Linked DNA regions of Caenorhabditis elegans. The protein of the gene in region 1 interacts with the protein of each later gene in a biochemical or structural test. Each region holds a gene or a part of one and is shown on either strand. Other genes may lie near its edges. The genes, in order: gst-22, dlg-1 and dsh-1.

Region 1 (8,098 bases):
CTCGGGGACTGGGCCGAGCCCGGCAGCAGTGCAACGCCAGTACGACCCGCGGAAAGTCGGAGCAAGCCCCGAGTCTTTCCTAGGATCCAAAAATCATATAACCTTTATTACACTCATTCGAGTGTATACCGTAGGTTAATACGATAAGAACAGATACTACACTTTGATCTTAGCTAATAAGCCGAAGAAGCGATACTGAATGGATGAGGCGGCAGGGCTAGTCGGGAGCTGTGTACCGACAAATCAGGGGCGCGCGTGTGTCACTATGAAATGACAGAGGTGTGGGGAGAAGGTGGAGGCGCAGACAGAGACTGGTTGCCAGGCGTACATGAATTTATAAAACAAAAAATGAAATTTAAAAAAAAACAATTACAAAACAAAAAATTCAAACTTGAGCATCTGGGAAGTCTTCTGGCACCTCTTGAATTACATCCAACTCCAAATACATTTTAATTCGTGCCAGGCAGACTTTAACCAAACATTTTGTAAAAATACAAATGTACACACTTATGATTACTAGGCTTAATGCAAAACCGAATTTAAATATTTCCGGAACATTTGGAAGATCACCTTTTGCATTCAATACAATCAACTTGGCCGTCACTAAACAAATTGTGCTGAAAAAGTTAAAAATAATATTTAAAAAATTTGCGGAAGCTTAAAACTTACAAAGAAACTAATCCAACTCTCATTACAGCTCCAAAAGCTAGCAGCACCAGTGATCTCTGATCTTTATCCATTTCCAGTTTCCAAAAAATAACCTGATCGGATATTGTAAGGCAGGCTAGAATAATCATCCAGTATGGCACAAAAGTCTTATCAAATTCGTCCTTGTCCAAAATATTAATGAAACCGAGAATTATTAAAAGTAGAGAGGCAATAAGCAAAATAATCGATGATATAAAGCGATTAACTGAAAATTATAGAATTTTAAAATAGGTAATCAAAATTGAGAAATAAACTTACTACGATGGCACCAAGAACTCATTTTCTAAAAGTCAATGCAATATAATACAAGGTTACCAATTTAGGTAGTTTAAATCCTATTCTTATCAATTTACTATTCCTCATGTTTGAAATGACTCATCAATTGCAATTGCTTGATCGGAAGTCATGTCAATTGCCAGATTCACTTTTTTCTTCATGAAAAGTGTTAAAAACTTTGTAGTAGTGTTTCCATGCAGGCGCCAAAACGACTGCCGTGCCTGCCTTGCTGCGACCTCCACCTGCCTCGCAAGAACCATTAGGTGTCAGAACCTGAAACCGCACCTGTCTTTCGTGAAAGTCTTTATTCACTTTGTAGTTGAAGTTTCACAAAATATAGATTGTCAACACAGCTGACAAAAAGCCAAGTTTCGTTAAGTCTTTTTTTAATGCTTAATTCCTAAAAGGCGCCATGTAATGTCTTGCATAATTATTCAAAATCTGATTTTCCAAAACTTCAAAACCTTCATTCTACATCATTCAACGGTAGCAGAGCTATTACTTGGCGACGACTTCTTCTTTTTCATTTTCTGACCTTTCGGTGTGGGTTGGAAAGTCACAGTTGTGACTTTTTGAGCCTCTGATTGAACTCTCCTGAAAATAATTTTTGTAAGTTTATTAATGGCTAAAAGAATGCAAACCTTTTGTAAACAGTAGTCGTTGTCGGAAGCTTGAAAGACACAGGTTTGGTAGATTTCGGGTCTGGTCGGTCCTTAGCATCAGTTGGGAGTGGGTTTAAGTTGTATAACGTGTTGGTCCAGATCTTCAAAAAGCATTTGGTAGTTTTTTGGAAACTTTAAAAAAAACTTACTCTTTTATAATCCGAAAAGAACTCTTTATCTTTGGCACAAATTGCCTGCAAATCTTCAGAATACGGATTCAAATCTTCTCTGGAAAGTAAATACACCTGAGTTTCATTTAAAAATGTACAAAAACTAACGGCGCATCAGTCTGTCTTTCCAAAAACTTAAGTTTTCCACTGGTACATAGATCAACCGCGTCCTTTACGGTGATAACTTTGGCCGGTGGTGGCTTTCCATTATTACTCATCCAAAACGGGCGGCCTCCCGGAAACAGTTTCTCCGGATGACTTTTATCATCTTTGTTGGTGGGCATTGTTTTTGGCGCATAGTCACATGGGAGGCCGTAAACAGCTGTTATTTCAGGCTTGATGTTGGCTTGCTCCGGTCTGAAAATCTTGTTTTTTTTTTCATTGAAATCCCAATTCTGTCTTACGCAATAATAGAATCATCTCCGTTAAGGGTACTTGATTCGATGTTCGGATTCTTTCCCACATATTTCTGTTTCGCTTTCGAGATCCATGATTTCAGGAGTCCTTCTGAAAATTTATTTTTATGTCCTAATACTAGACACTTAGGTAGGCAGATAGGCATGCCGTGACAAGAAGGCAGGCAGGCGTGCAGAGAGCGCCTGCCGGCAGTAGCTACCAACAGCATGCAAGTACAAAATACTAAAGATCATACCCGTTGCATCTTTGCTAGGTGCCTTGTTCTTATCCTTAGCTGGAGGAGGCTGTGGTAGAGTTGTAGCAATGTTTTGAAGAGGCACGTAGTTCTTTCCAGTAGGAACTTGAGGGGTTGTAGCCACTGGAGTAGCGTTTTCAGGTTTGGCGGCTGCACTTCTTCTCTGGAAACAAAGAGCTATCTGATGAAAATTCAATTCGAAGACTCACCACACTTCCTTGTTGCCGTTTCTGCCTGTTGCTCTGTCCAGTTTTGGTTTTCTGGCGCTGGAAATTTGATGAAAACTCTAAAAATTTCAGCTTTATGTACTTACAGCACTTCCCCTGTCAGTTTTCTGTAGTTTTTCCTTTTTGACTTTTGACGGTCCTTTTGCATCTTTTGCCTTGTTATCGTCCTTTTCCAGTGTTTTGATCCTTTCCTTCTTTTCCTTCTTCTTGTTCTTTTTCTTTAAAAAAAGCTATATTAATAAATATTGTTCATCACGTCATTAACCTTGTCATCGTCATCATCTTCCACGAATTGCCCGACCGCATTGTTTGGGTCATCCTTCTTATCCTCGTCATCACTGATGAAAACAGCCACAGCGGTTCCAGTGTCCTTTTTTGCCGGTTTCTTTGCCTTTTTCTTTTTCTTTTGTTGCTGCAAATGTAAATAAATAGATTATAGGTATTTCGGCAAGTCAAAGGTTTCTGAAACTAACCTGATCAGCCTTATCTGCATCATTCGATGGAACCTCTTGTAGCTGACTTCCTCCACCCTCTTGTTGCTGACCAGCCTCCACGACAACTGCTTCACCCTGGAAATTAATTGTTTCAGTATCATCGTGAACAGAGTTTTTGCTCGGGTCTGTTTACTAGAGTTTTCATAGCAGGTAGGCCTGTGAAACCTGCTAAATCAGACCGCTTCAAGCTGACTTTATCCTCAATTGAGCAGTCTGACGGGACTTCAAAAGCTTGTTGTTAGCACCATATAGTGTTATAGGTGATTCTTCCGAAACGGCAGATTCGGGTTCCGCGCTGCACTATACAGGCGAGGCAGCAGGCGTTTCGGCGCCTACTATCGCGACTGCTTGAAAGTAAGTTTATAAAATTACTAACCGGAGCTTCATTAATCTCCGTCTCCAAAGTCTTGGAAACTACCGGTGCTTCAACTATTGCAGACTGTGCGGCCGGAACCTGCTCCACAGGTGTCTGTGGTGTATGTGCAAGTTCAGCTGGAACGGCGGATTCCTCAGTTTTCGGAAACTTTGGCTTCAATTCAATTGGAAGCGGAGCGGCCACGTTCTTCGGGGGTCCAGCTCCACGACGCACCGGTGCACATTTCTCTTCGACAAAACTGAAAACTTATAGTCTTGCGCGGGATCTATGGATGAAAACAAAACTCACTCATTGTTTCCTCTGTTGTTCATTGTGCTTCACTGTTTACCAGTTTACACTGAAATTTCCGAGAAGTTTGATGAAAAACGGGAAATTGCGCAATACCTCTTATAATAACAATTATCGATTGATTTGTAGAAAATTGTGAAATAATTGTAAAACTGATGTGGGGGGAGAAGGGATGGTGAAGGGTAAAAAAGTGTATTGGATTATGGGAACAGTTCACGCTTTTAAAAATAATCTTTCGTAGTCTTTGTATTTCAATGAGGGGGGGGATCACGTAGGAATAATTTTGTTTGGAAATTTGCTCTTCTAATAAGTTCATTTTTTCTTTGTTGATAAAACCATATTTTTATTATAACTACAAGTTTGGATTAAAGTTCATAAAATTATTAAAAAAAGGCATAGTTAATTAAATCAACACTTTCATCTAGACATTTTCGTAAAAAATTTTAGTGTTACGGTCTATGATTCAGTTTCAAATGAAATGTAGAGTAGCGAGTAGTTAAAAGAAAAGAAAATCAAAACAAAACAGAAATGATGATGTGATAAGATCACAAGAAAACGATAATAAGGCAAATAACACAAAATTGATTTAAACTTGTTTTTTTTTTCGTTGCTATCACCTGTTTACGTACCTATGTCTCTCAATTTTTGTTAATTTCAGAATATGATTGAGCCAAATGAACATGTTTCCAAAAAAAGTGCAGTTTGTTTTCTCACTGCATCAATTATAATCTCCGCTATTATCCCATTATTTTTTATAATTATTGGAACATTTAACATATTCTCTTGTTCTTCACCAATACTCCCTCTGTGGCTGATCGGAATTGCTATTTTGATAATTATCGAGAGAGTGGTATCTTGGAGGATTTTGATAAGCGAAACTCAATTTGAAAATGAAAATCCCATTCCGAAAACTGACGACTTGAAGCAGATAAAGTCCTGGGAGAAGAGTCGAATGGAAAATACTTCGAAGTGGTTGATTCTCGGGAAGAATAACTTGAGAATTTTGATGTTTGTTGGGTAAGTTTTTGAAGCATTCAGGAACAAACTTGTGTGCCTGCCTACTCGCCTACTTAGCGCCTAAAAACATGTGATATTTTATGGTTTCGTACATTTACATTTCGCAGCGCCCGACAATATTCGGGTTCGACGCCGTACAATTTTCAAAGCGCAGTTTCAATTTGCTAAGAGCAGGCGATAGGCAGGCAAATAGGCGAGCCAAATTCTTTTGTTTTTTTTTTCAGAATAATCTGCGGCACCCTCGAAAGTTACGACAGACTCATACATTCCGACTATCAATGCAGCATAATTGTTCCAATTTCTGTTTTTGTTTTTAGCATTGTTACTTGCATTGTTTACCTATTCTCAATTGTTGGGTCAATTTATATTTGGTGTGTCTCTGGCTTGACTAAGCTTGACCGCTGGACAAAATCATCACTACATCAGGTTTTGTAAAGTGAAACGCAAATAAATATACAGAACGCAAATAAATTTTTAAAACTATTTTATTGCATCATTATTTTTTCTTTCACAAAAAAAACAATTCACACAAGCGTCACTGGTCTTGTCTCGATGTAATCTTTCAACTCGGTAAGATTAAATATTTTCTCCTGGAATTTTCTCAAAGTTAAATGAATTGGATCTTCTGGATCAAGTTCCTTGAGATTCGTCAGAGTATACAAATGATCAGCCACCACCAGATCTGCCCAAGTCAATCCATCTCCAACAAGGAAACCCGATTTGTTCTCTTTAAGAATTCGAGTCAATATTTTGAACATTAAGTTTTTTGCTGGAATGTAAACTTTGTCATGAATTTGCTTCACTTCTTCCATTGTTTTTCCAGTTTTCACGGCATCACGGTAGGGATGGAGTGACGCGTAGTACTCATTAAACTGATCAACGATAGAATCAGCAAAAGCCTCGTCTTCCGGTGTTTTTCCAGCGTAGCCAAACTTTCTAGCCAGATAACGATGAATTGCAGAAGATTGAGCAAGATCAAAACCGTCGATGGAAAGAACTGTGAATCGGCCAAATGGGGTCTCTGAAAACAATGTAATTTTTTGATTGTCTGGTTAGCAAAATTCTTTCAGCTAAAATTGTCAAATTGTCAAAAGTTATTTTTAAATTTCAAAAAGTTTCTTGAGTTTCCTGGAAGCTTCTTGAAGTCATCAAAAATTGTCTGAAGGTTCCAAAAATTTCCTCAAATTTCCAAATGTTTTTATTCCAGAATTACCATGACATCTCCTTGAAATCAAAAATTGCATGACTATCCAGAAGTTTTCAGAAAGTGTCAAGAAGTCTCATGAAATTTCAAAAATTTCTAGGAGTTTCTTGAAAACTCCATAAATATCCAGATGATTCTAAAATTATTTTAAGTTTTCAAGAAGTTTCCCGAAATGTTCAGAAAAATCGAGAAAATCACAAAAATTTATCGGTTTTTCCACAACTTTCCAAACCTTTCCTAGCAAAACTTTTTTCTGATTGAATATGAATTTTCCGCCGAAAAGTGGAAGGGCTCATGTTTCTTTAAAGGTGGACTATGCTCAGTGGGCTATTAGTTTGACTCACTGTCTTTCAACGCTGAAAATTCGTCACTTTGAAATCCCGGAACAGCATTGATCGTCGGCAGTCGAACATCCTCATATGGTACCCCACCAAGATGGAATAACATTCGTGCTGACTCTCCAAACCCACAAGCATCAAAGTAAGTCAGTTTGTAAGAGGGCATATTTTATTTGTGAAGTTAGTTGAATCAATAAAGAATTTATACCTTTACCAACCTTTATCGATGACTCTTATCGCGATTGCAACTTTTCCCCTTATCGCAAAAAACTGCAGAGACAGTTCAAAATGTGGAGGTATTATGTGAATATTAAGAAATCATTGCATGATTCATACCTCTATTAAATGAAATCATGATTTTATTATATTTTATTGGTTTACATATGAAGACTGTACTAATGGGTGATACTGTCTGTACGATCTTCAGAAATTTTTTTATGGATTTTTAGCAGAAAACGAGAGCTGTGATTGAACAAAAAAAACTATTCCTTTTGTTTTTGTTAAAAATTAAGTGTTATTTTTAATTGCTTGTAAAAACAATGTCATGTCGGCAAAACAGATGCATTTTCAAATTATACAATATGTTAAATTATAGAATATAACTATACAACCACATTGTAACTTTTCTATCAAACTTTGCTTTACAATTCATGCAAAATATATAAATAGTCCCTATCAAGGAGACTATATAAGTTATGGAAGCAATAATACAAAATCCGGAAACCGAGAAAAGAACAGAAGATTTGCATAAATAAATCGGTCGGCCGAGTTGTTCATAGCTCCAAATAGCTCCAAGGGCAACCCTGAAACTTTTCTAGTTTTTAGACATTTGTAAATTTGAAATCAATTACGCTATTAACATGACTCCTTCCAACGCATATTTTATTGATATCCACCAAAAATTTTCGAACCAGTTTTTCTTTCTTCCATCTTGCGGAACATCCTCCATGAGTTTCTTCACTTTATTGAATAGAATTTTCCAATAAATAATTCTATCAATAATAATTAAAATACCAACAAAAATAAGCCATAATGGAAGAAGCGGGTTCTCACATTTTCCTTGGTTTTTAAAGCCGATTGATAGGAACCATATTGGAATAATAAGGAAGAATAAGTTCAAAATTACCAAGTAACAAATATGGTGTGTCATGGTCGAAGAGAAAAGTTGAAAATAGGTTGAATTAGTTGTGTCAAATTGTTATCAAATAGAGTGGTATCAATCACTTCCTCAGTCCCTGTGTTCGCGGAACTTTTGAATGAGTGAGAAAGAGAGAGAGAGAAAAGAAGAGAAACCAAATTTTAGTCACAGATTACACTAAAGTAAGAGATGAATAATGTATGTTAAGTGTACTGGCATTGACCTACGGGATTAAACTATCAGGATTTGTAACTTATTCTAACCCATGTCAATGTTCTGAGACTTACATATCTGCCCGCGCTTTCTTCATTTCGAGTCACCAACATCCTATATACCGTGAGAAATACATTCAATATAGTTCAAATGTGAATACAACACTCCAAGAGTTAACATTTTGTTTTAAAGTATTAACTGTTTTACCTTTCTCCTTCGGCACAAAAATCCTGTGAAATCTGGAGACAGCTCAGAAGAACATCGACATAGAAAAAGGCTCTAAGACCCCCGCTCTAGTGAAAGTAGATGGCTTGAGTTCAAGAGACCTAATGGTT
Region 2 (12,113 bases), on another chromosome or scaffold:
ACGATTTATGAGGCGTAGTGAAATGTATAACCATGCAATGTTCAAAGTGCATTTTGTCTTAAAATGTAGTGTTTAGTCAAATAGGGAAGAATATATGAATAACGTACAAAAAATGTTTCAGGTAGAATTGATTACAAATCGCAAAAAAACCCCAGACCGGCCATTTTTAGTCATAGTTTTTTTCAGTCACGGACTGTAGAACCATCGAAACTGCCATCGAATTTTTTAATGAAAAATCAAAATTGGAAGGTAATAAAATATTTGATTTGAAAATGTAACGGTTTCCTGTCGAAAATTCAACGTGAACTGCCGTAGTTGCCATTTTTGACACCTTTTTGGCAATCTGGCAGTCTGGCACATTCAGGCACGATTTAAGGCCCTTATTAAATCTTTCAACAAAAGTAACATACAATGGCAATGCTGCGAAATTTTCAATAGGCATATGGCAATCAACTGACAAGGAAATTATTTCAACTTCAGTTTAGGTTTTTGAAAAAAATCTATGTTATAGGATTATTCAAGTAACGTCGCGAAATGTATTCATATACATTTTATGACATCACAAATTGTATTGAAATACATGTTTTGACGTCATAAAAGATATTTCAATACATTTCGCAACATTACACGGCATCACTTGAACCACCCAATCATTTTAAATAGGACTCTTTTATTTGATCTCTACACAAAATTCAGCGGCAGATGAGAATTTTCAACTGGGAAAAAAATCGATCTGAAAATTTTCTGAAAATCTCAACATGAAAATGAAATTGTGAGGTGCATTTCAAAGCGGTTCAAAAAAAAAGAAGTTTGTTTTCCAAGTAAGCTAAATTTCTTAATTTGAAAATTTCGAAATCTAAATTTATCAAAAAATGACTGTGAAAATGAGTCTTTAACAAAACTGGTCGTGAAGCTATGTCGATTTTGGTAAACACACTTATCTTTGAGTTCAAAAAAATTCAATTTCATAATTTAAAACATTTCCGATCTTATGTTCTCAAAGTGCACTTCTCCGCATTTGTCGTACTCGTCAGTCCCATTCAATTTCACTAATTTTCTCCCCGCCGCCGCAGTTTTCCTTTCATTTACCTCTCCGTGCAAACCTTCCCCGACCTCCGTGCACTTTTGTCAGAGAGTGAGACCGTGGCTATCTGGAAAAATCTAAAACCTAACATCCGAGGCGGCGCGCATGAGGTGAAAGTGCAGGTAGAATGAAAAACGAGGACGCTATAAGAGTCAAGTGAAAGCGACAGCGCCTTTGGAGCACGATAAGCATCAAGGCACGGTCATCGATGACTTCTCTGGGCGATCCTGAAGAATCGTAGGTTATCGGTCTTTCTTCTTTTCCCGACAGGTAGCAGCGGAGGAAGACACTCATTAACCAAACCGTGATTTCACTTTTCAAATTAACATCGTTAAGTTTTTTTTCAACAAGAGCTACCTGAAAAAAAAAAGATTTCGCATCCTCGCATATAAACAAAAAGGAAGTCAGTTTACACTCATACTTGTCACCTCATGCGTAATTTATTTTTTGTAATTTTTGATCTGAATTTTCAATATTTTCAGAAAATAGTTTCCCAGTCAAAAAACTCTCAGTTTAAAGGTGGAGGAGCGCCAGTGGAAATTTTTTTTCTAAATACACTTTTTTCTAAATACACTGATAACAATCCAAACCGGCCAAATATCATAATAAAACACTCTTTTTTCAGTCAAAATTTTGGCATGATGGCAACTTTTTGAAATAAATGAGCTTTTAAAGAAATCCAGAGTAATTTCATGTTCCGGCCCCTAGAATATTTAAACACAAACAATCAAAGAAATTTGAAGTATAAAAATTATTGAAAAAAAAATTTTTTGGTCGACTTCCAAAATTATGAGTTGCCAAAACTGAGTAATTGTTATTTTTTGACAGTAAATAATAATTTTTTAAAATTTACTTTAAAGTTTTACTGATATGTTTGGTCATTTGGCATCATAGTAGTTTCAAACACTTTTCCCACTAGCGCTACTCCATCATTAAAAAGTCTTATAAATTTTAATTTTTCACATTTTACATAAGTTAGGAGAGTAGAGTTAGTAAATATTTTGTTTAAATAGACTAAAAACTCACAGATGATACTGTGCCTTTAATCAATTACAATGCCTTGCCATTTCAAACATATTTCAGGAATTTCTGTAACAATTTCTGGAAAAGTTCATTATTCAAATTGATAAATAGATACACATATTTATGCACAGAAGAGTGCAATGCACAGAGGAATGGCGGATTTGCAAGTTGCAAAGATAACCAGTTTGTGGAAACGGTCACAAAATGAAAATTTGGGGAAAAAACCAAGCACATGCACCAGACTTGGAATGGAATCTGGACATAAATTCCAAAAGTTCAAGATGACTAGGAATTTTGATGCGAGTAATGCACGGGACAAGAAAAAAGTATAAAAAGTGAATGATTGTGAAAGAATGGTTATGTTCAGATTTTACAACAAAAAAAAACGAAAATGATAATTTCTGGAATTCTTGTTCATAACAAGTTGATGGGGTATAGTTTTAGACACCTATTTGTGAATTGTTAATTTTCGTTACAAAATCAAGAAGGATTCCTTCGTTTTCCAGCTGTTGGACTAGGTGCCTGCTTGTGCAAAGTAGAAATGCTTCCTGAGCCACCTTCCTCCATATTCCATACCATATTGACAAGCGCTTCGATTTTAAAGTCTCGCAACAATTCCGATGGTTTATTTTTGTGATCTTTTGATTTTCGAGGATCATTGATGTTCATGTTCAAAAGACAGTATCCAAGCCATTCAATTGGATTGTTGGGCTTGATTTTCAGATTGACCAGTTTCTCGAGTATCTGAAAATCGAAAAATGATATGGTATTTTATTTATGATATTTTAACCATACATATTCAACATCTTTTTGAATATTGTCCTCGAGATACTGAATCGGTGGTTTACAAGTTGAGTCTTCCCAGGCTGTGCGGCATTCTGACATCATGTCTGTTGAAAATGCCAAAGTCACTTTCAATCGCTTTCTGAAAATATAAAGTTTGTTTTAGTGTAAGTAGGCAAGTTCCAATACAAAATGGTTTAGAAAAAATTTCTGGGAAAACACCTCTTTTTTCGTTTTTCAACTAAAGAATGTAAACTTGGTCAAAAAATGACAGTTAAAATTTTCTTTTTCAAAGTTTTCAAATAAAATTTAAAATTTCTGTCTAGCCTTGGTGAAATAATACAATGAACGTTTTCTGGTTAAAACTGCTCTTATCCCACTAATTTTTTGATGGGAGCCATTTAAAGCTTGTTCAAGAAGCCTTTTTTAGAATTTTGGTTTAAAAAACTTTAACTGAACACATTGTGAAGCCTAAAAATGTTTGAAGTATTATTATAACATCCTTTTGGATATAACATTTCCAAAGTTTTTTTTATTTAAAAACATTTTTGTTTTTTCCCTGCAACCGCATATAAATTTTTGTTCAAATATTTTTAACAGAGTGAAAATTTAATATCACATTTTTGGACCACAATTTTGGACATACTTCCACATACTGGTTATTTTGGAATTAGAAAATTTCTTGAACGTTCAGAACAATTATTATTAAAGGATTATGAGCTAAATAAAACATTACGTCAAATCATCCTCTTCTTCGTCACTTCCTTCCGACTCTGTGGCGGAATGTGCGAGCACGTCATCATCGTGAACCAGTGGAGGATAAACCGGTCGTTTTGGCATGTATTGATTAAATGCTTGCACTAGTTCCTCTTGTGTCATTTTCATTTTTGCCATGGTTGATCTGGGAAATTTGTTTTTGAAGGTATTTACGAATTCAAAGAAGATATACACAACTACTATATTATTTTGAGATATTCATTATTCATTTTAACTTTTTATTAAACATTATTTTCACTAAGAAATTCAGTTAGTAAACCAGTAAACAAACATTACAATAGAATAAAATTAACTGTCTCATTTTCCAAAAAAAAAAAAACGAATAATAAAAAATAAAGAACCGTCATACAAGTTGGGAATGCAAACAAATTTGTGAGAAACTAGTTAAGAATATCCGATAAACTTTAATACGTTCATAAAGCACGCACGTTCACACGGAAAAGACGTCAACCATCCTATTGACGCGTTTTGTGCGCGCACACGAAAAATTGCATGAAAGGGGGTCACTGACATGACCTAGCTCAATTATTTTACCCTTTATTTTATCTCAATGGTACTATGGTAGAACTGAAATCTTTTAAAGTTATTTAAACCGTAAGCGATATCATACTATTGTTACAGAAAAATTAAAGCGTGAACATAAAAACAATGAAACACATTTAATGAGGCAGAAAAGAGTAAAACAAGTAACTTTGCTATGTAAAAATAAATTAAAAATGAGAAAATGAGGAACTATTCTACAATTATAAACATTCATAAATTTAAAATCAAGATATCAATAAAATAAAAAAGATTGCTCCCGGTGAGGCTCGAACTCACGACCTTCAGATTATGAGACTGACGCGCTGCCTACTGCGCTACGGAAGCACTGAACAACGTCTGCAAAGTAGGATCAAAAGAATAAAAAAATGTTCTTAAATTCGAGCCAGTCTGTGTTTCAAATTAACAAAATGTGAGATAAAATAAATTGCTAGCTTTGACTCAAATTAAAAAATGAATTTAAACAGTTAAATTAAAAATTAAATTAAAATTACAGTTTTCTTCATGGCAACTTATGCTACTTGGGAAAACTTCAAAAAAAAAATTGCTCCCGGTGAGGCTCGAACTCACGACCTTCAGATTATGAGACTGACGCGCTGCCTACTGCGCTACGGAAGCACGTTGTGAACTCTTCACAAAGGACTTGAGAAAGGATGCAAAAACTGAGATCCCAAGTGGGACAGGGATTTGAAAATATCACAACTGTAAATAGTCTAGTTGAAAAATCTCAAATTTAACTCATAGTCAGTAATTAAAATATTATTGATATTTTAAAATCATTCTAATCTTATTTTGCGTTTAAAATACATGTTTTTTTCGTTAATTGAAAGACTAATAAAATATCAGGAACAATATTTCAGTCGAAGAAATATATTAGGCAAAAAAGATTGCTCCCGGTGAGGCTCGAACTCACGACCTTCAGATTATGAGACTGACGCGCTGCCTACTGCGCTACGGAAGCACATTTCGAAACGGATTCTGAAGAGTACTTCAAATCCTTTTGTTTCGGAATTTTTCCAGCGATCTAATAAAATGAATATTTTTAATGACAAATTGCCGCAGTCATTTTCAGAACACCCTGATATACTGAAAATAAAGTTTTTTCTTGTTACTTCAACACATGTATGTTTTGCAGATGCAATAAAATCTTTATTCAAGATAATTTGTATAAAAAGTTTTTAAAAATAATTAAAAAAAAAAAGTTTGGAACCAATGGATGAAAATAAAATGCTCTCAGAGTAATAAAAGTCCCAAAAAATAGAAATGAGCCGAAGTTTTTCATCAGTAGAGAGTCGGGAATATGATAATGATTTGCGGTTAGTAGAGACAAATGAAGCGTTGAGAATATCACAAACTGTCACAATTTCAAGTAAGAAGTGAATTGAGTTGGGGGAGGAAGGAGAGGGAAGAAGGAAGGAAAGCTGGGGCGGATTATAAAATGCAAGTATTTGTAAGGTGAATTTCAAGATAAAATGGGCTGTAGAGAAAACAGGCAGTACAAACTATCGTAGTAAAATATTCGGAGACAAAAGTAGAAACGATTCACCGTTTTCTGGCAGTGATTGTGGAGAGTTATGATTGAAAATGAAAATAATGAGCAAGGTAAAAGAAAAAAAGAATCAGAAAACTATTGAAATATTGGCCTTTCACGTTTCTGAGTTCGAGTAGTAGAGTTTCTTGAATTGAGAACTTGGAAAGGTCATGTAAATTAATGCATAATAGGGAAGGGGTACTAAACAAAATACAAATAAAGATGGGGATGGAAACAGGATAAAGCAAATGACATCAAGAGTTTTTTCAAAGGATCACTTTTCTCAGATTAAAAAAAAGTATCACAACACGGCGTAGTCTAATTATTAAGGTAAATTAAACTGTATATTAATTAATTTCAAGAAGACATATTTCTTGAAGAAACGATTATTTGTCTAAAAAATATCCAATTTCATCTAATGACGTGGCACCCAAATTGGCGTCTGCGATTCACGGCTGATGATGGAGTACACTTTGCTCAAAACGTCATTCGCGCTGTGCACATTTGAGATTTCTTCTGAAATAAATAAAAAATCAGATATTTGATAATAATGGTTGGAAAAAAGACATACGCGTGAACAAATCCCCGAAAGTTTGCTCAATTCTATGACATCTGGAATACTGCGCTTGAGCTTCTTCGCCACTCATCGCTCGATCGTCTTGTCGGTTGGTGGCAAGTTGGCTGTCCAATTCACTGAAATTTTGCAGATTGATAAAGCTTCTTTTTACAATTTAACTTACAGAATCTGTTGTGCAGAGCTGGGCTTGATGAAGATCGAGATTGGTTGAATATTGGCATTGCTTTGAAGTCGTCGGATAGCATTTCCACTGACGTCCAGAATACAGTGTCTTCCTTGGTTGGCGACATCTCGGACGCTTTGAATGCTAGTTCCGTAGAGATTGTTTTGGAATTGTCCCGCTTCAATGAAGAGATTATTCTTGACATCTTCCTCCATATTGTGCTTGTTGACAAAGTAGTAGTCACGTCCGTTAACCTCTCCCTCGCGTGGTGGTCGGGAAGTGTCTGAAAAGGGTATTATGAGTATATTGCACATACTATTTAGAAATGTTCTCTTTTTTAAAGTAGTTAATAACTTCACAACTTACGTGGAACGCAGCTACTGAATTTCGAAGGGTCGCGGTTGACAAGTTCATCGTTGATTCGGTCTTTGAGAGCTCCAAGAATGATCACTGGACGAACGTAGTTGATCGCCTGTTGCTCAACTGCCTGGTAGGACCACACTGGCTCTTCAGCTACATTTGAGGATTCCTCATTAAGATCGTTGAGCCGGTCGGTACTTTTGACGAATGGGAACTTTCTGGAGAAGGAAAGCTGACTGCGGCTTCCTCTTCGGTTTTCCAATCCAGTAGTGCTCGAGTTTCTTCCAAGAGACTGCGATCCCGAGTTGAAGTTGACTTGCTTCCGACGAAGTCGTTCTCTCTTCTCGACACGTTTCTTTGATGGAATCACTCCTTCAGCTGTTTCTTCTCCGTTTTCGTGAACTTTTCTAGCTGTCCACCATTCATCGTCAGATGAGTTGATGATATGTAGGATGTCACCATAGTTAAATCCCATTGATCTATGGGGAGCAACAGAGTTTTCACGTGATGGATCATAATCGAAAAGTGCTCTGAAAGATGTTATTCGTTGATATATGTATACATTTATAAGTAAACAAATCTTCTTACCTAACATATTCAGACTTTCTGCTCAAAGTTCCCATTCTAGATTGAGCAATCACGTCGTTTCTCAGCTTCTCAATTTTGGACTCAAAAATTTGATACTCTTGTGGTCTGTACTGAAGAGTGAGATAAACGGGATTTCCAGCGTTTCTCAATGCTTCAGCTGCTTCCTTATGGGTTGCATTTCTCAAAACAACTCCGTTCACTTCAAGAAGAACGTCTCCAGTCTTCACGTTTCCACTAAGATCAGCAACACCTCCTGGGAGAACAAAACTGATGTAGATGGGCTCATTGTCTTCTCCGCCAACAATGTTGAATCCAAGTCCATTTTGGCCCTTTACAAGTTGTACTGGACGGGGTTCGAGTGGAATTGCGATGGGGGCTTGTGAACTGTAGCTGGTGTTCAGTGGTCCTCCGTAAGACAAATGACTTTGAGATCCCATTTGAGAGCGGTTGTAGTCTTGAACGGAGCTAGCTGAAATGAAATTAATTAGAAACTATATTATTATTTTTGATTCTTGGGATTGTCTTACGTCTGAGAATTGGGGTAGTTGGCATGAATTGTTGGCTCGCCGAGTCATTGAAAATTGCCCCAGTTCCTTGCTGAATAAGAAGTCGAACACGATTTCCAGTGTTTTTGAGAACATTGACCGCATTTTCATGAGTCGTGTTAATCAAAGAGTGATGATCAACTTCAAGAATCTTATCTCCGACTCTTAATCTTCCGTCTAATTCAGCTGCTCCCTCCTCAATGATTTTCGTCACATAGATATCGGTATCTCCTTTAACGTGCTCGTTTCCTTGACCACCAGCAATAGAGAAACCAAGTCCACGTGCTCCCTAAAAAAAGTTCACATAGATTCTTTTGTACTTTGGAAAGAGAAAATGTCGCCAACCTTAACCAGATCAATGACGGATGTATTCGGTCGTGTGGAACGATATTGGCCAACAGATAATTGGCTCAATGATCCGTGATGAACTGGTGGTGGCGGTGGTGGATGAATCGGAGCCGATGGAGAATGAATTGCGTGTTGCAAGTTGCCGGCGCTCACTGATGGAGTGACTCCTGATCTGAGGTAAGAAGTCGACCCGCCAAAGTTTCCTCCAATTGGAAGAAAGGCTTCATCTTTACGCCGTTTCAAACTCAACGAAACAACGTTTCCGGAGCTTTTCAATGCGTTGACTGCAACCTCATGCTTCACATTTTCACAGTTTGTATTGTTGACTGCAGTGATAATATCATTCTTTCTAAAAAAAACATGACCATAAAGTTCTGTTCATCTTAAATTGCGGTTTTTTACCTCATACGCCCATCAGCAAGTGCGGCACCTCCTTCAATAATATTGGTGACATAGATAGAAGTATCTCCGTCTTCTGTTGGTTGGTCCATACCTATAATCAGATATGTTACATCATAAATACCGGTTGAACGCGCATACCTCCAGTAATCGAGAATCCAAGGCCGGTGTGACCTTTCTCCAAGACAATATTCTCAAGCTCCCATTTACGACCATGATCATCGATAACTCCAGTATGCTGAATATATGATAATTAAAACTAATATTGAGCCAAAATTATCTTACTTCAACCACACGTCTTTCAAGACCACTTGGAGTGTCAACTGTTCTTGTGGTTGTTTCCCGCCATGTTCCATCATGACTGGTCTGACGTTGACGCTCATGAAGGTAGTGAGTGCTGGATGAGTTGTACGGAGAAGACAGAAGTCCGTTTCCAAGTCCATTCCCAAGCCCGTTTCCAAGGCCTCCGCCGTTCAAATACGAGAAACCTCCCCGATCTCTCAGCTAAAATAATTTTTTTTATAAAGTATTAAAAAAATCTAGAATCCAAATCCAGAGAAAAAAAGAAAGCAGAGCTTACATCTGAAATAAGTGGAGTTGTGCTTGAAAGGTTGTAGTTCGACGTGGAAGTCGTCGCAGCCGGACGACTGTTGTAGGAGTGTGGTCCACCTTCGAGTCGCTCAATCACACGCCTTACTTCCATATTTTTCTCTGCATCTGATTTTCGCTCGCTGAGCAGCGTCTGCTCGTACAGATCGTGAATGTCGAGCAACGAATGCATCAGGTTTGATTTGAATGTGGTGATAACTCGTTCCAGGTTTGTGCGTAGCTCCTCATTGCCGTGTCTTGTCAGTGTCTGGCAGTAGTCCTCCACATTTTCTATCGCTTTATGCGCTTCTGAAAATACAGTTTCATGTTCAGTTATAATTGTTGTAGGATTATGCACATCCCAAGTCGCAAAGTGTAACAAGTCTAGGTTGATGACTCATTTTGCGGCAAAACATGGTCAACAAAAAAGGTTATCATGCGCTTTCTTTCCCATCCCGGCAAATAACGATGAGTCACCCTGCGAGGATGCGCAATCTCCCTCGTTTTCCCTCCTTTCTCCCCTTTCCCTTCGGAATGTACAAGACTGGCCCCGGAAAGATGTCTCCGATGAATAAAGGGGAGACTCCTGGTTGGACTGTCGGACACGTACACACACCATCACAAACAGATTGTTTTCTCTTTGCCCTCTTTCTTTTTGCCTTCTATTCCTCCCACTGCGTCTTCTTCGCCTTCTTATACAAATATAATGTTTGCACATTCAGAGACGCATCCTCACCATCATGCGCGCCAGAAAGCATTCACCTGGCGGGGAGGAGGAGGAGGCTCCGAGTAGTGTGAACTTTTCGAAAACGTATATAGCAAAATTATTACGTATATGTGTATGTGTATCGAAATGTGTAAGTGTCAACACCACAATACCTCATGAGGCGGGGTGGCCGTATTTGGCAGTTTCGAGGTGATAAGAAGACTGTTGAGATGCGATCATCGCATTGAAGTCATAAGAAGGCAGGGAAAGGGGGAGCGTAGAAAACGCAAGAATGTACATAAGTTGGTGTGTTGCCTTGGCTAATTCTGGTCATTGTGACATTGAGTTTAACGACCACGGCGACCGTAGGAAATGGGTTCGGTGATAATTGGTTAGGAGAAAACTGTGGCAAACAATTGAGATTAGTGGACATTGAACGTTTTGCAAAATAGAAACAGTTTGAAACTTAAATGTCTAGAACTCACTTTCCGATGACTCGTGGGACATGCTTCCTTCCTTCGGTGAGGCGTTCTTCCCACTCCGATCGGTTTTCTTTCGATGCTGGTCGCTGAAAATTGAAAAAATTAAATTGATCAACAAGTTTTTGAGACTGAAAATAGAAATAGACGACTGGTTTTAATGCTTCTAATAATCTAAAAACAGAGCTCGGTAAGAAGGAGGCATTGAAGACGAAAAGGAAAAACTGTGCGGCGATAAGACATAACTTATCAGAAAGAAACAAGAATTTACGGCAAACACACGCACACACACACACACATACACACAAGCAGGCCGCCATTGAGTTTGTTTTAGCGAACTTGATGTAAATAATAGAAACAAGATGCAGAGCAAAACGAGCAGGGGAAGGAGTAAATGAAATTTTTTGAAAAATCTAGGAAGATTCATAAATCATAATCCATCGTGGATAGAAAAATAGAAGGATATCCCGTACATAGAAGATGGAAGACGCTAGGTTTCGCATTTCACTTGTGTCGAGTCATGGATATGTTTATTTTTTGTTCGGCAATTCCCACCAACTATTGGTATGATTCAGTAGGTTGGATGAGGGGGAAAAATATAAATATTCCTCTCGTCTTCCTCCGGGCGGGTCGCATCTTACTCTAGATTAGTATCTACCAGAAGGGAAGACTGTGTGTGAGAGATCTGATAGATATGCTTGAGTAGAAGAAGAGGTAAAAAAGAAGGGCGTTTGGGTATAAACGGTGGGGGTCTTCAACGTTTATTGGACACCAACCACCTCCGCCGGTGGTTTTATTATAGACGCGAGGCGACAAACCGCACCATCGGAGAGGGACCTGGTAGGAGGAGCGGGGAGTCGATTGTTTTGAAAGGTTGTCATCTAATTCAAAAATTAGTAAACTATTATTAGGTATTTTTATCTTTGGATATTTTGTAAAATTCTGAATTTAAATAAAGGAGATTAAGTTCGGAGGGTTTTGGCTCCCTGGAAGGTTTCATAATGAGTCCTGAAAAATAAATCCAAAAATTTTGGATTAAGTTTATTTAAATTAACATATTCCTACAATTTGTCTTTATCACAGATGCCAAAAATATATACAAGCCAGAAATTTTAAATTGTTACCACCCCATCACGTCTCTTTAAGTTAAATAGTTAAAATTATCTTCGCTCTAAAATGTATGTTTCATTAGAACACTAACAATTTTATCTAAACAAAATGGGGGTTTTATTAGAAAATAATGCCATAAAATTGTATAGTTTGAAATTAATGGTCACAGACACGTCTGCAAATTTGAGTTCACAAAAAATATATTTCAATAGCCACTTGATTTCCAAAGAACTGAACAAAAAACAGGAACAAGTCGACTTGAAACAAATCACAGTGTCGAAACATAAATGGTCAAGATGAGAAGTGGAACAGACCCGGCCAGCATAGAAAAAACAACACTAACTTATGCGTCACGCTGTGTGTGTGTGTGTGTGTGTGTGTGAAATTATATTCAACATGTACAAGCCAACGGGACATTAGTCACGACATGCGGGAAGAAGATAGCGAACGTCGTCTATTGTACCAAAAACATGCCGGGAACAAATGCGCCAAAAAAGTTGTGGCGAGGCGAA
Region 3 (12,682 bases), on another chromosome or scaffold:
ATGAAAGTAAAAGAACAAATTATCAATATAATTTCCACGGGCTTTTCTTTGAAAAAACAAAAGTAAGAGAAAAAGCAAAATGACTTCCAAGTTTCTTTATTTCATTCATTCCTAATTTTTATCAGTCAACTTGCAAAGATGTCGACAAACTTGAATATAGAAGTCAGTATCAATTTAACTGAAATCGATGTGAACGCTCAATTGTAAGTTTTTTGTTTCAATCAAATCGCCTAAATCTCAGAACTTGTTCATTTGAAGAAAGTATTCAAAATTTAATTCAATTTTTACAGAGCTGAGTTTGCTCGTTTCCAACAAGTTCGCGATGACTCGCGGTACGCACAGGACGTTGAACGTGAGTTCGTGTTGGGGCCCATTCGACACCACCGACGGCAGCTGGAGCCATCAAGGTACACGTTTGATTCGAAAGATGAATATGATGTTTGGTTTCAGATCTGCTCCGTTGGCTTCCACAGAGCAGCCAGTAGCTCAGGCTACCACACATCCGTCAACCGAGAATGCACGGGTACCAGCTCTAGTTCTAAGGTTATCTTAATTACGCCTTAAAATATAAAAAACACAACATTTTAGATCAGGCTCATGGCGAGCTCTTCCAGTGGCACAAGGCGGTTCCTCACATATTCGTATCTGGCCGGTGTCACGGAGTGCTACAACAACTTCGACGGCAACTCGTCATCCACCATTCACCAATACTTCGGCATCAACTTCATTTGCACCATATCAACGTCACCGAGGAAGTGCTCTACAAACTTCGGAATGCACCATTTGCTTTGAGAAGCCCGTTGATCCGAGAGGATGTCCTAAATGCCTCAAAGTCATTGGCTGTAAAAAGTGAGTTAATATGAGATATTGAAGATGTTATAATTAGGCAGTTTCCAGATGTGTGAAAAAATGGTTTGATACGTCTGCATCGAAGGCGTGCCCACTATGTCGATTTGAATGGAAACTGCACAGAGACAACCCAGATGTTGTCAAAATTTCAACTCTTGAAGTTCTGAAAAGGCAGAAGCAAAACCGTCCATAGACTTATGTCATGAATACAATAAATTATTGTTACTGAAGTTTTTTTTTAATTGTACAGGATTATAATTTTACGCGTAGCCTTCCATGGGGTTTAGTAAGACTTGTCGCAAATACGGACAGAATGAACCTCTCCTATTCTCGACTAACTTCTGTTTAGAATATAAAAGGACTATATCACCGGCTTATGGCACTCGACTCACTCCACCGAGCGGCGACACGTCTTAAGGAACCACCCTGCAAGCAACTCCAACATGGCCAAACGTCTACAACAACAAAGGAAACCCTTTCACACAGGAACTCTAGGATCAAAAGGATGCAATTGAACTGCCAATAACACCGTGGAACAACCTTTGCTACCTTTACGTGAAAAGTCATATCCGATGTCTATATAAGGAGGAAATTGTGGAAGAAACATCAGTTTTGAATTTACTCAAGTGAACTCCATTTGCTAATGATAATATATAAATAAAGTATTGTTAATAAATGAAGTTTATAAATAAGCATTCCACTGAACCGCCTTCGCGACAAGAATTAAGAAGGCGGCGGATAAGCAAAAATCTTGAATAAATAACAGTTTTTATACAGCTCAAAAAGTAAGCACCAAAACATTGAATTAATATTAACAGTTAATACTCGTATCTTTGTCCAGTTGCCATAAGAAATGAATTATTTGATTCTTCATAGATTGTAGAACTATCATCAAATGGAACATTTGCAGACGATGATGGTTTTCTGGGAAGAACAACAACTCGTCTGAAATATTTTAAAATTATATTGGGAGTTATTTCGAAAAACTATGTCAAAAATGTTAGAGTCTACCGTGTTATATAAAATTGGAACTTTTGAAGTCAGAGAAATTCAGACGAAAGTTTTTAAATTTCCAGTGCCTCACACTTTTCACTTTTTTCCAACTTAAGAAACAAGTTCTTTTGGTGTGGTTTTGAATTTTATTTTTTTCTTGAAAATGTTTAAAAAAGCTATATATCTTTACAAAATACAAAAATTTCTTTGTATGTTTATAGTGGAAAAACTCACTGTTTTCTAATTCCACCGCCACTACTTCCACTGGTTGTACTTCCTTCTCTTCTCTGTTGCTGCAATTGAGCTGGTGGGAATGGTGAAGCCGGCATTGATGCATATCCACTTACCTGTTTATATATTTTTCAAATAATATATTTCTCACTTTGCAATGTTCGTGTGGTGTGAAATATAACAACATTCTTTTGATTCAGAATATTATTTATTATTCTGTCATTCTTGTGGGTGGCAACATTGGACTGATACATTTACATGCTACTGAGAAATGAGGGGGCGAGAAAATAACAATGATATCGAATATAAACAATAATTTTAGGGCAAATGCAATAGAAAACAAGACGTTTTTTTTCTTAGTATAGGGTGCATCTATTTCAGACAAGGATGTGGGGAACTCGTGAAGAAGATCGCAATTCGTGTGAATTTGAGAAGGAAATGCAACAAAAAATCGACGGACAGATTCAAAAATAGAATAATCAAATAAAGGAAAAACATCCAAAATTACAATCACCGGGAACATATGAAATTTTGATTCATGATTGGAGACTTAGAAGTTACAAAATATTAAATTAGAACTTATTGTAATACCGGGTACATGGTGTACTGTGAGAGAAACTATTTTGAATTATGCCATTTTGGCATTGATTACCAGACATAATGAAACATAAACATGAAGAAAAATGATGACATTCTAAATGTGCATTACATACATGCGCGATTCGCCGTCGCTTACCATTGACGGAGCCATCCCTTTAAAAGCTCCAGGAGGGCCAGCCATACCTCCAGGTAAATGTGGGGGTGGGAGCATCACAGAGCTTCCGTTGCCAGCAGACATTCCGTTCATTCCGATGGTCCATTGGTATTTGGGTCCACCATCTTCATTTCGGAATCGGGCATAGTCTGGAAGTAATTTAGAAGATATAACAAGAAGGGTTGAATTTCATGTTTTGAATCAGGCAGGGCAGCCTTGAATGCAACCAACTTTTTTGCATTCCTATGGAGATTACAGGCAGACATTTTTGTGCATCAGTGAAAAATTTGTTTTAAAAATATAATTTGAAAAAAATAATTTTTTAAAACAAATTTTTAACATTTCAGTTCAAAAAAATTGCATTAAAGATTTCAAAAGACCCACTTCCATCTTCATATACAAAAACTTTGACATTTTCCGAATAAATGTATACTTTCCTACCTGAACACTCATCTCCAAGGACATAATAGCACTGCTCAGTGAATGTGACCTTGTTCACCACATGTGCAATATACTTTAATTTCAGTAAATCCGCCGCAAAGTTTCGTGCTGTCTTCCGTTCTCGAAGCCCTTCAACATGATCCAAAAGCCATTCGACCAGATCAGATCCTAAAATTGAGAATTAGAATAGGCTCTACACGTTCATTCAAAACTTACCCAAGAACGACATGGGAATCGGAATTTTGAGCCATGTTCGATTTTTGATATCAAGACCAGAGCCAGGCATAGCCATTATTTCGACAACCTTCTTTTTGTCAGTGTGTATATCAAGAATAATATGAGCTCCGCCGCCGACTACTGTATTTTGACCATTTGATCCGTTTGAGGTCACCGTTGAGCTGCTTGGCGGTCGACCATGAGGCCATTCACCAGGAATTGGTGTCGGTGCACTTTCTGGAAAAAATTTTTTAATTAATAGATATTTGTAGGAGAATAACGTAGAAGAAGAACAAAAAACAACATCGAGGCTGTCTTCCTGCCTGCCTACCTGTTTTCAAAATTTTGGTGCAGAAAAAAGGTTTGACTTAATTTTACATTCAGCCTTCAAAATTAGAGATGTGAAAAATTTCATATTTTTATTTTTGTTTCAAAAAAAAATTGAAAATTCCAAAAAGCTTTCCAAATGTTGTTCTACTTTAAAATATCCTAAAACATCAGAAGTCTGAAAAACATCAACTTGAAAGTAGCGAAGAAATGCACTGAATAAATTTCAGCCTGAAGTTGAATAGGTTGAGAGTGCAGCTTATAATTTTGCAAAAAATAAAAAGATCAATCAAATAACAGGCAGGTATTTTGTTTAGTTTTTCTACACTTCCAATCAAAAAACCATACCTTCAACTATACTTGGCATTCCTCTCATTGCATTCGTATGCTGGATCCATGCTTGAGTATCGATTGGTCTCACAGGCTCTTCTCTGCTATTCCTTGGTATTGTGAAACAACTTTGCCCATTTTCAAAACTTTTCGCCACAGTTAATTTGATGGGGCCACGACGGCTAACAGCTTCTCTGAAAATTCATATGTTGAAGAATAAGCTCTCAGTAAAAAATAATAATTTTTACCGTAACACATCAACAGCTTGATCGTTAGTGAAATTCTCAAAGCTGGTCTCATTGACTTGTAAAATCATATCACCAGCTTCAATTCTTCCATCCAATGCCACTGCACCTCCCTTCATGATATTTGCTACGTAGATTCCATTATCACCACAATTAGAAGTTTGACCAACAATTGAAATGCCAAGGAAATTGACTGTATCCATATTGAGGTTCACTGTTATTACATCAAGGCTCATAGAGGACTCTGGAATTCGAATGGTAAAAGTTATGCTAATTTCGAAGAGGTCATACCTGTGATACTTGAAAACGAAGATGCTCTAGAGGGTTTTCGGAAATTTCTTTTATTCTTCTTTTTCTTTGCCATTTTTTCATGTTGTCGGGATACTGATGTGAAATCGGTTGTTGTAGAGCCTCTGAAAAATTGAACGTTTTATAGTTGAAATTGTTATAGATTTTTCAGAATTTTCAGTCCAACTTTTGAAAATTGAGTCTTATTGAGAAACTTAAAGAAGCTTTGCATATTCGATGCCCCACAAAATAAATACAAATGATTTTAAAATTTAAAAAAAAACTGTAGAAATTTTTTAAAATCGAATTATTAATTTATGATAAGCGAAAACTGGTTAATTTCCATTTTGGACTGTAAATAAAAATTTCATAATTTTTTGAAAATCTTACTGTGGTTTTCAGTGATTTTTGCAACTCGTGAGTAACTTTGAACGTTATCAACTAAAATTTTACATGGTTTTCACTAGCTAAAAAAGGAAAACTAATGAGAATTGTGTTCCGTGAAATTCTAAATATAAGCGGAGCACTGCACAAAACAAAATGTTCAAATTCCTTAAAGTTACAACCTAGAAGTTTGTTCCACAAAATCCGAAAAGAACTGAAAGATTTATCGAAAGCAATTATCCACTTCTCATCCATCTCTTTCCACCCGTTCTCACGTCCTTTTCTTCCCCTCCCCAATTTTTATTAGTTTCCTTCAAATAGTGCACAACACTAAGAGCTTGTTGTGATAGTCACTACCAGGCTTTAGCTAGAAGATAAGCGCCAAGCAGGAATTGCTCAAATTTAACGAGCTGTGTCTTATCGCAGAATAAATGAACTGACACGTCGCGAGTTGTGGCACCCGTGCTGCTCGGCGGAGCTGTTCCAATTGCATAGTAATAATCAGAAGTTGAAGTGGAAGTTGTTGAATAATAGGCTTTACCATCAGAGCTTGCGAAATCATCGTCAGTTATGTAGCCGCTCATTTCACTATTTGAGGAGCGGAAGGGCGAAATCATTGGGGGCAGAGTGAGCGGGGATGAAGGCCCGCTTTAAGCCTAGTCATTTGTCACTTTATGTGACAGACAGAGAAGACACAAAAAAAGGTATTAACTATTTGAGAGGCAAAATGAAAACCATCGAATTTTTGAAAATATTTAAAATTTAAAATTTCAAAGGGGTATTGCCTATTCGTAAACTTGGTTTTGTTTTTATGAGTTGTTATATTTTGAATGTAAATTTTTTTCAATGTTGCATATTCCTTGAGATAGCCCTGCAAGACCTGAATGTAGCCCTATTATAACTTAAACTTTTGCTTTAATTTTTTATAAATAAAAATTTGCCGAATAAAATACACTAAATTTTGAAAGGAACACTGTCACCAGAGTACTGGCTTTACATAAAAATTCAATGAAATGAAACCTATGTTTATAAAATTAAAAAAAAAAACATACCTATCATCATCATCTGAAAATACTCTTGCATCGGATTCGGAGCCAATTGTTGATTCTTCGAGATGTCGTCGGTGCCCTGGAATTTAAGAAAACTTAGAATTCGATGCTTTTTCAAATTTTCATAAGATTTTGTTTTTTGAACCTATTACCCTTTACTTGATCACATCATTTTTCGCCATCATTTACCTACCGATCAAATAAAACGATGCATCTGCACTAAGTTCAGAGGTTAAGGATAGATGTGACGTCCTATGTAGAAATCCAATAAGATGTCTTCTCGGCGAAGCATCCGGTGCAACATCTTTCCTTCCTTGATAAGTACTTGTTGTATTTGATCCGCCGTACCTTCGCATTCTGCGCTTCTGTGCTCGATCCGCTCTCTCCTCTTCCACCATTGCCGCTGTACTTGCTGTTTCTTCCTCATAAAGTGGCGGAAGCGATGGACTAGTTGGAATCAGTGACATTGTACGGCTCATTGTGCTTCTTCGTGAAACAAGAGGTCGGCAATCAGATGATAGACCACTTCCATCTACAGTGACCGGCCGACACCTATCGATTCGGTTCAAACTTCGACTTTCAGATATAGTAATACTAGGAATAATAGGTGGACGATCGGTGGTTATTTGACACGTTTTGGATTTTCTGAGCTCCCTAGATGGCGGAGCAAGTGAAACAGGGGAATCAGGAGCCGCAAGGGAAAAAGTTGGTCTGGCTAATGCTGCAGCTGGTGCAATGAGATCCGGTGGTGGTGGCTGAGGTGGGCTCAGATTCTCTTTGAATTCTTTAGTATTAGATCGAGAACTTGATGGTGATGGAGATGCAGACCGAGATTTTGAACCACCAAGTGAAGTTAAAGACGTTAAACTTGCAGCCGAGTGGGACAATCTGATAAGAGCTCCAAAAAACGATGAAGAGGCGGAACCACCACCGGACTCTTTTCCGTTGGCGCCTCCTGCACTTTTTTCGCTTTGTTTCCGTCGTTGTAAAAATCTGCGCTTCGTTGTCGTCTTAGTATTATCCCCCTCTTCGTCGTTACAATCATCTGATGCTTTGCTGGTGCCGGGAAACAGGAGAGCCCCCTCGCTGAGCCGTTTTTTAAGTGGACCACCGAGCGCATTTGAGACCATCTGTCGCCATGTGGATCCGGCAGGTGTATGATTATTTGTGAGATCAGTTAAAGTCCGTTTTAATCGAAATGGTGCCTCAGACTCCGGCTCCACACGACTTTTACTTCTGCTCTTCTTCAACTTTTTCCCCGTACTTGGTTGCTGCTGGCTTCCTGAATTTTCCTTATCATCAGAAGCTTTGGAGGAAGGGAGAATGTTGTTCAGAATTTTCAAATTTCCTAATGGATTTCCTGTATATTTCTTCCTTCTTGGACTTTTTACAACTTCCGAGACGATAGTTTTCTCATCATCAACCAAATCAAGATCATCAATCTTAGCAAGTGGTGGAGCCTTTTTCTTCTTTTTTGGTCTTGACGATGTATTTGTAGGTGACGTTTTCAACTCAATCTTGTTAATCAATTGTGATACAACTCCCGGCGAGTGTTGTCGATTTGGTGGAGGAGCCGTGTATGTCGAACGGACTTTTCGTTCTTTTGAAGTGAATAATAATGAGCGAATCATATCAGATGAAGTGGATGGGGTATTTGAGGAGCCAGAAGGAGATGGAAGGGCTCTATCTCGAGCTCCAAGCTTGATACTCATTGCTCGCTAGTGAGCTATGAGCAATCGTGTCGTTCTCTAGAAAATCGGTTTTAAGTTTTTGATAGTAATAGAGCTGGGAAGTAATAAAAAAGCTTGAAGGTAATAAAAAGAAGAGAAAGAAACGAGAAACACACCTCGATGGGGGGTCATAAATTTCCCAGCATCCCATCTTGTGGCTCATGATGCACTTGGATTAGAAACAGATACTTTCGTTTTACTTTTATCATGTGCTGGGAATTTAGAGAGAAACTGAGAATTTAATAGTCGACACATCGGGAAAGTTGGTACTCAAAATAATCCTGTTGACACCATAAACACTGTCGTTAAACTTTAATCGGACTTGACATATGTCATGTTAAATCTCAATTGACTCGACTATGATAGTGACATCTAAAATTGATAAATTCCTATATAATGAGAAATGCAAAGATTGAGATATTATAATTTTAATATAATATAATTGGTCTATGAGTTTGTTAAGATTCAAGCCATAACAGTAGAAAAATTTAAAAAAAACTCAAGTTTTTATACGCTTAAATCTCGATGTTATTTTGAAAGACAAATGTTTGCTTTCATTTAACTTTTATTTAATTAATCGTTAACATTCACTGATACATCTAATAAAATTAAAATTATAGTTCAATACGTTTCGGTCGAAACTATGTGGCTATCAATTAATAAGATTTTCCCCGTTTCGCAAAAGAGCTTCAGAATAAGTGTTACCATTTCTCAACTAACAAATTTCTTCAACTGGTGGGCTGGAAAATGGCACATGACAACTAAAACCAAGAGCTCACTATCAGTTATTTATATCAACAAATTGCAACTTGACTTATGGCTCACAGTCAAACACCGCAGAGATCCAGAGGAAAACACAATTTGCTATGGTCAGATTAAATGGCAGTTGCTTAAAGAATATTGATCGAAAATTTTTCATCATGACTAGTTGAACAAAGAGTTGCAAATTGATCTCACTGAAACATGTTGCAATGGCTCTTGATGATGACGAAGTATAAAATCAAATGTTTGAATCCACCTACACACATGGGCTAGCAAACATTGATCGGAGGCAGGAAAAGCGGATAAAGCATAGAAAAGATCATTATCAAACTGTCTTTTCTCCCCAAAATCCCGATAGGTATCATGATAGAAATCACAAGTGAGGGATATCCGAAAGTAAATAAAACCACAGATCTCACTATTATAAGGCAGATATCTATTTTCGTGTTAACGAGAATGAGAGCAATATTATGAGATCCTGGGGTGGGTACTAGAGACTATTTCGACACAAAAACGATAATAGTGACAAGTAGAAACATACACAGAAATCGACAAGTGAGCGGACAAAAAAAACTAACTAAAAGTGGGGTGAAGTGGTATGAGGTCTCGAGAAGAGTGTTCAAGTGGAGAGAGAGACAGAAGGAAAGCATCTTGATAAACACTGTGATAAACTCATCGGTCTTCGGGTTTTCATTCCCACTGACGTCGAGCACAGAGATATAGAGAACGGTTTCTCACAAAAAGTGGTGGAGCAAGCAAGGAGCCCGGTTGACCCCCTAACAGAGAAGTTCAAGGACTAATGTTACAAAAGATCGAGAATTGGATGTCAAAGAACATATTTTTCCAATTAACAATGCTTACAAATTCTACCGTACACTACAGTTCTTAAGGTCGCAAAGAGATATTTTTGGTATCTGGTTAATAATTTTTTATTCTCTAATGTCGAAGCTAAACTAAACTAGCTGTGACTTGTTCGCAATTTACCATTTTCAGATGTCATTGTCAGATATTTCAGAACAAAAATTTTTGAAATAAAACAGCTGGGTAGCCTTTCAATGCAACTAGATATCCTGAAAATAATAATCTATTTGTTTCAAAAGTAACAAAATACTTTTTTTTTAATTTTCAACAAAAGAGAGTTTGGATGAATTTCTAATTTGGAGGAAAATTAAAACAGATTATAAAATACGAATTTTATAGAATTTGAGAATATGCTCCTCAGATTAAATTTTCAGAAAAACACAATGAACTAAAATACTTTGAAAAGAAGTTGTACACAAAAGGGAGAATTTCAATTGATTTATACACCCAGCTACCAGGTAATAACCACAATTATGTGATTTTAATTCCACGTAATCACACTGGGGAAATCATCGATATGTATGTGTGTGTGTGTGATTAAATTGAAATGAAATGAAATGTATGTATAAACATTGAATGAAAGCAAAGAAGGAGGAGATCTCCACTCATTGAAATGTGTGTTGGTTGGTTGACTGGCAGCCAGCCAACAAGATGAGCCCAGAAGATAGAATTGAAACAATTGGTCCTTTCTCTGTGCTCTCTCATTTCTTTATGATCTATGAGAAGTGATCTGGGAGATCGGCTCATTAACACCAACATAAAACATGAAAATCAACGGAAGGACATGATGGGGTGAAAGTGTTGAAATGATGTGATCAAGATTTTATGAGGGGAAGTTTTATTGGGTTCACTGACACAATGTAAAAGTTTGCGAGAACTTTCTTAAGAACTTTTTGAGACGAGGTTTTTCTTCCAATTTTTTCTGAAACACTTGGGACCAAGTTCATCGTGTTTCCCGTTTCTCAATTACCCCAAAAGCTAATGTTTGTTTTTTTACCATACAAAGCCTTGAGCCATCTAAGCATTCACAAAAATGCTCACTAGCCTTGACAACTGGCTATACGTGTAATTAGGCACTTTTGTGATTGCATGAGAGGCCCACAGATTATTGTGCAGAACTATTTAAAGTGTTTTTTTTTTGAAATCGAGTATATACCCGTTTTCCAAAAAACAAAAAAGAAACTAACCCAAATAATGTTGTGGAAACCGTCGATTATAGGCAGCACTCTTCAAGTATCCAGGAATTGCTGCCGAGATCATTGATTCCGAATCGGTGCTCATCACTGAAATTCAGGTTGCGTTGAATGTATCAACAATAGTTATAGTTCTTTGAAAAAGAAACAAAATAGACCCAGAAACTGGATCACGGGGACCATAGGGAGGGAAATAAAATGAGAATTAAACAGACATCTGGAGGTTTATGACTTGAGGGTATGAAGACAATTTTACTAGATGAATTGAATTTTTAATTTCTTTTGTCATTGGGGGTTCCGCTAAAGTTTTCCGCTAAATTTTTTCTACTGGGCCCCAAAGAAATTCCTAGATTATTTGGAGCCAATTAATTCCGATACAGTTCTTATTTCCTAGAGAGTTGCCAAGTCCGAATTTCATATATTTTCTGACATAATTTTTTGAAATTAAAAAAAAATCAAATTTCTGGCAAGCCAAAGATTTTCATGTTGGATTTTTCTGGGCGCCGATCAAACTTGACTTGCCAGTTTTTTTTTAAATTTTTCTATGATTTATTATCATTTTTTATAAATAATTTTATCGAATATTTTCTGAGCTTCTCTCTAACATTTTTCGATTGAAAAAACTCACTGGAATTATCAAATTGATAAGCAGCATGTTGATAATTCATAGGTGGTCCATTTCGATTTGAAGGCGCCGGTCCAGGTACTGAAGGATATTTTCGCATCTTCCCACTACTTCCATCCGAATGAGTTGATCCTTCAATTGTCAAAAGAAAGAGCTCAAAAAGGTTATTTGGTGAGGGAGTGAGCCTTTGTGAGTCGTCACGAATTTCGGCTTTTACTTCGCTGAAATTTTTAATTTAAAATGTTTTTTTTTTCATAATTTAAAATAGAACTTACTATCCAGAATCGGGGTCCAATGCTTTTCTATAATATTTGAAATTTGTTCTCATCAATACTCGTTTCAAGTCTCCTAAAGTGATAAGATCAGGTGGTACATGAACCTCTAACATGTATGGATCCGTTTCATCGTCGATATGGCAATATACCTGAAAATTTTCGAAAATTGTATAATGAACGTAGAATTTAATTAATTGCTGTTTTGAAAAAATTTAAGTTTGCTAGAATGATCTATTTTCTGATTTAGATAAAACTCCTATTATAATCAGGTACAAAAAATTACTAGTTTGTAAGATTTTAATAAGGCAAAGATCCAGACAACATTGCTAACTAGACATTAAATTTATTTATTGATTGGAAAATTTTGTTTCAAAAAACTTCCCAATAAATAAGGAAAGTTAACATTCATAATTTTGTGAGCCGACCAATAAATGTTTTAAAATTATTTGTCGTAAATACTACTTTTGCTAAATGACCAAAATTTCAACCGAACATTTTTTCAAAAATTCTCATCATTTGGAACTTAATTATTATGGTTTTTGGGCCACTTTGAGTAAGTTTAAATAAACTTTTAAAAAGTTTTACTTTGTTTTATTTTTAAAAATTTAATAAGTATGACTTAACCTAGTTAACCTAGATTGCAAGTTTTGCCAAAATAGTATTTTTTTTCCATATTTTAAACAACTTACTTTGGTCATAGTATGTAAGAATGGTTGCTGTTTGACAGCTGTTGTGGCCTCCGATGTTTGAGAATATTGAGCAGAAGAAACTGACTTATTGTCAAAGTCTGAAAAGTTAATTGTTTACATTTGAATTCCTTAATAGAAATTTCTTCAAACCATCTTCTTTTCCATTTTCCTCCGTTTGGTCTCTCAGTCGGAGTCTCTCCATCATTGTTGTCGGACTCCCGACGTTTGGAGCATTTAATGACGAGTCCACCGGAGGTGGAGACTCGGCCATTTTTATGGACTGAAAAATGATGGAAATTATAATTAAAATTTGGGCGAAAATGTGAATATTTGAGATGAGAAAGATGTGATGTTGTGACTCGAGACGACGCAGGGAATGTGTGAACACTCTCACGTCATTTTGCACATGTGAAAAAATAGAGAAGAGACAACTTTTGACT

Evidence for each region.
Region 2: the proteins of gst-22 (region 1) and dlg-1 form a complex in vitro, tested with the Caenorhabditis elegans proteins (one study listed by BioGRID).
Region 3: the proteins of gst-22 (region 1) and dsh-1 form a complex in vitro, tested with the Caenorhabditis elegans proteins (one study listed by BioGRID).

The regions. Positions count from the first base shown.
Region 1 is NC_003283.11:16,225,694-16,233,791, forward strand, and holds gst-22 (glutathione transferase), read right to left. Parts: upstream 6,590-8,098; 5' UTR 6,579-6,589; coding exon 6,419-6,578; intron 5,892-6,418; coding exon 5,395-5,891; 3' UTR 5,339-5,394; downstream 1-5,338. Other genes in the region: F11A5.13 (uncharacterized protein), read right to left, coding at 386-617, 670-913, 967-988; F21H7.2 (Calpain catalytic domain-containing protein), read right to left, coding at 1,461-1,578, 1,626-1,747, 1,796-1,874, 1,925-2,173, 2,221-2,323, 2,469-2,631, 2,678-2,734, 2,782-2,913 and 4 more; F21H7.12 (uncharacterized protein), read left to right, coding at 4,515-4,870, 5,095-5,305; F21H7.3 (Serpentine Receptor, class E (Epsilon)), read right to left, coding at 7,002-7,215, 7,264-7,562.
Region 2 is NC_003284.9:5,478,167-5,490,279, reverse strand, and holds dlg-1 (Disks large homolog 1), read right to left. Parts: upstream 10,581-12,113; 5' UTR 10,520-10,580; coding exon 10,498-10,519; intron 10,289-10,497; exon of another isoform or gene 10,178-10,288; intron 10,062-10,177; exon of another isoform or gene 9,784-10,061; intron 9,616-9,783; coding exon 9,299-9,615; intron 9,223-9,298; coding exon 9,004-9,222; intron 8,957-9,003; coding exon 8,860-8,956; intron 8,813-8,859; coding exon 8,722-8,812; intron 8,669-8,721; coding exon 8,317-8,668; intron 8,261-8,316; coding exon 7,954-8,260; intron 7,896-7,953; coding exon 7,427-7,895; intron 7,369-7,426; coding exon 6,845-7,368; intron 6,762-6,844; coding exon 6,479-6,761; intron 6,432-6,478; coding exon 6,310-6,431; intron 6,255-6,309; coding exon 6,154-6,254; 3' UTR 5,339-6,153; downstream 1-5,338. Other genes in the region: F55D1.1 (uncharacterized protein), read right to left, coding at 167-442; C25F6.1 (Condensin-2 complex subunit H2), read right to left, coding at 2,588-2,851, 2,903-3,032, 3,627-3,784. UniProt on the Caenorhabditis elegans protein: Essential multidomain scaffolding protein required for normal development. Recruits channels, receptors and signaling molecules to discrete plasma membrane domains in polarized cells. Required for proper embryonic elongation.
Region 3 is NC_003280.10:5,212,856-5,225,537, forward strand, and holds dsh-1 (DiSHevelled related), read right to left. Parts: upstream 7,820-12,682; coding exon 6,301-7,819; intron 6,187-6,300; coding exon 6,111-6,186; intron 5,813-6,110; exon of another isoform or gene 5,609-5,812; intron 4,800-5,608; coding exon 4,678-4,799; intron 4,631-4,677; coding exon 4,390-4,630; intron 4,336-4,389; coding exon 4,160-4,335; intron 3,722-4,159; coding exon 3,485-3,721; intron 3,437-3,484; coding exon 3,269-3,436; intron 2,977-3,268; coding exon 2,810-2,976; coding exon of another isoform or gene 2,768-2,809; exon of another isoform or gene 2,265-2,767; intron 2,190-2,264; coding exon 2,077-2,189; intron 1,795-2,076; coding exon 1,668-1,794; downstream 1-1,667. Other genes in the region: C34F11.1 (RING-type domain-containing protein), read left to right, coding at 139-203, 291-407, 451-543, 589-849, 898-1,042.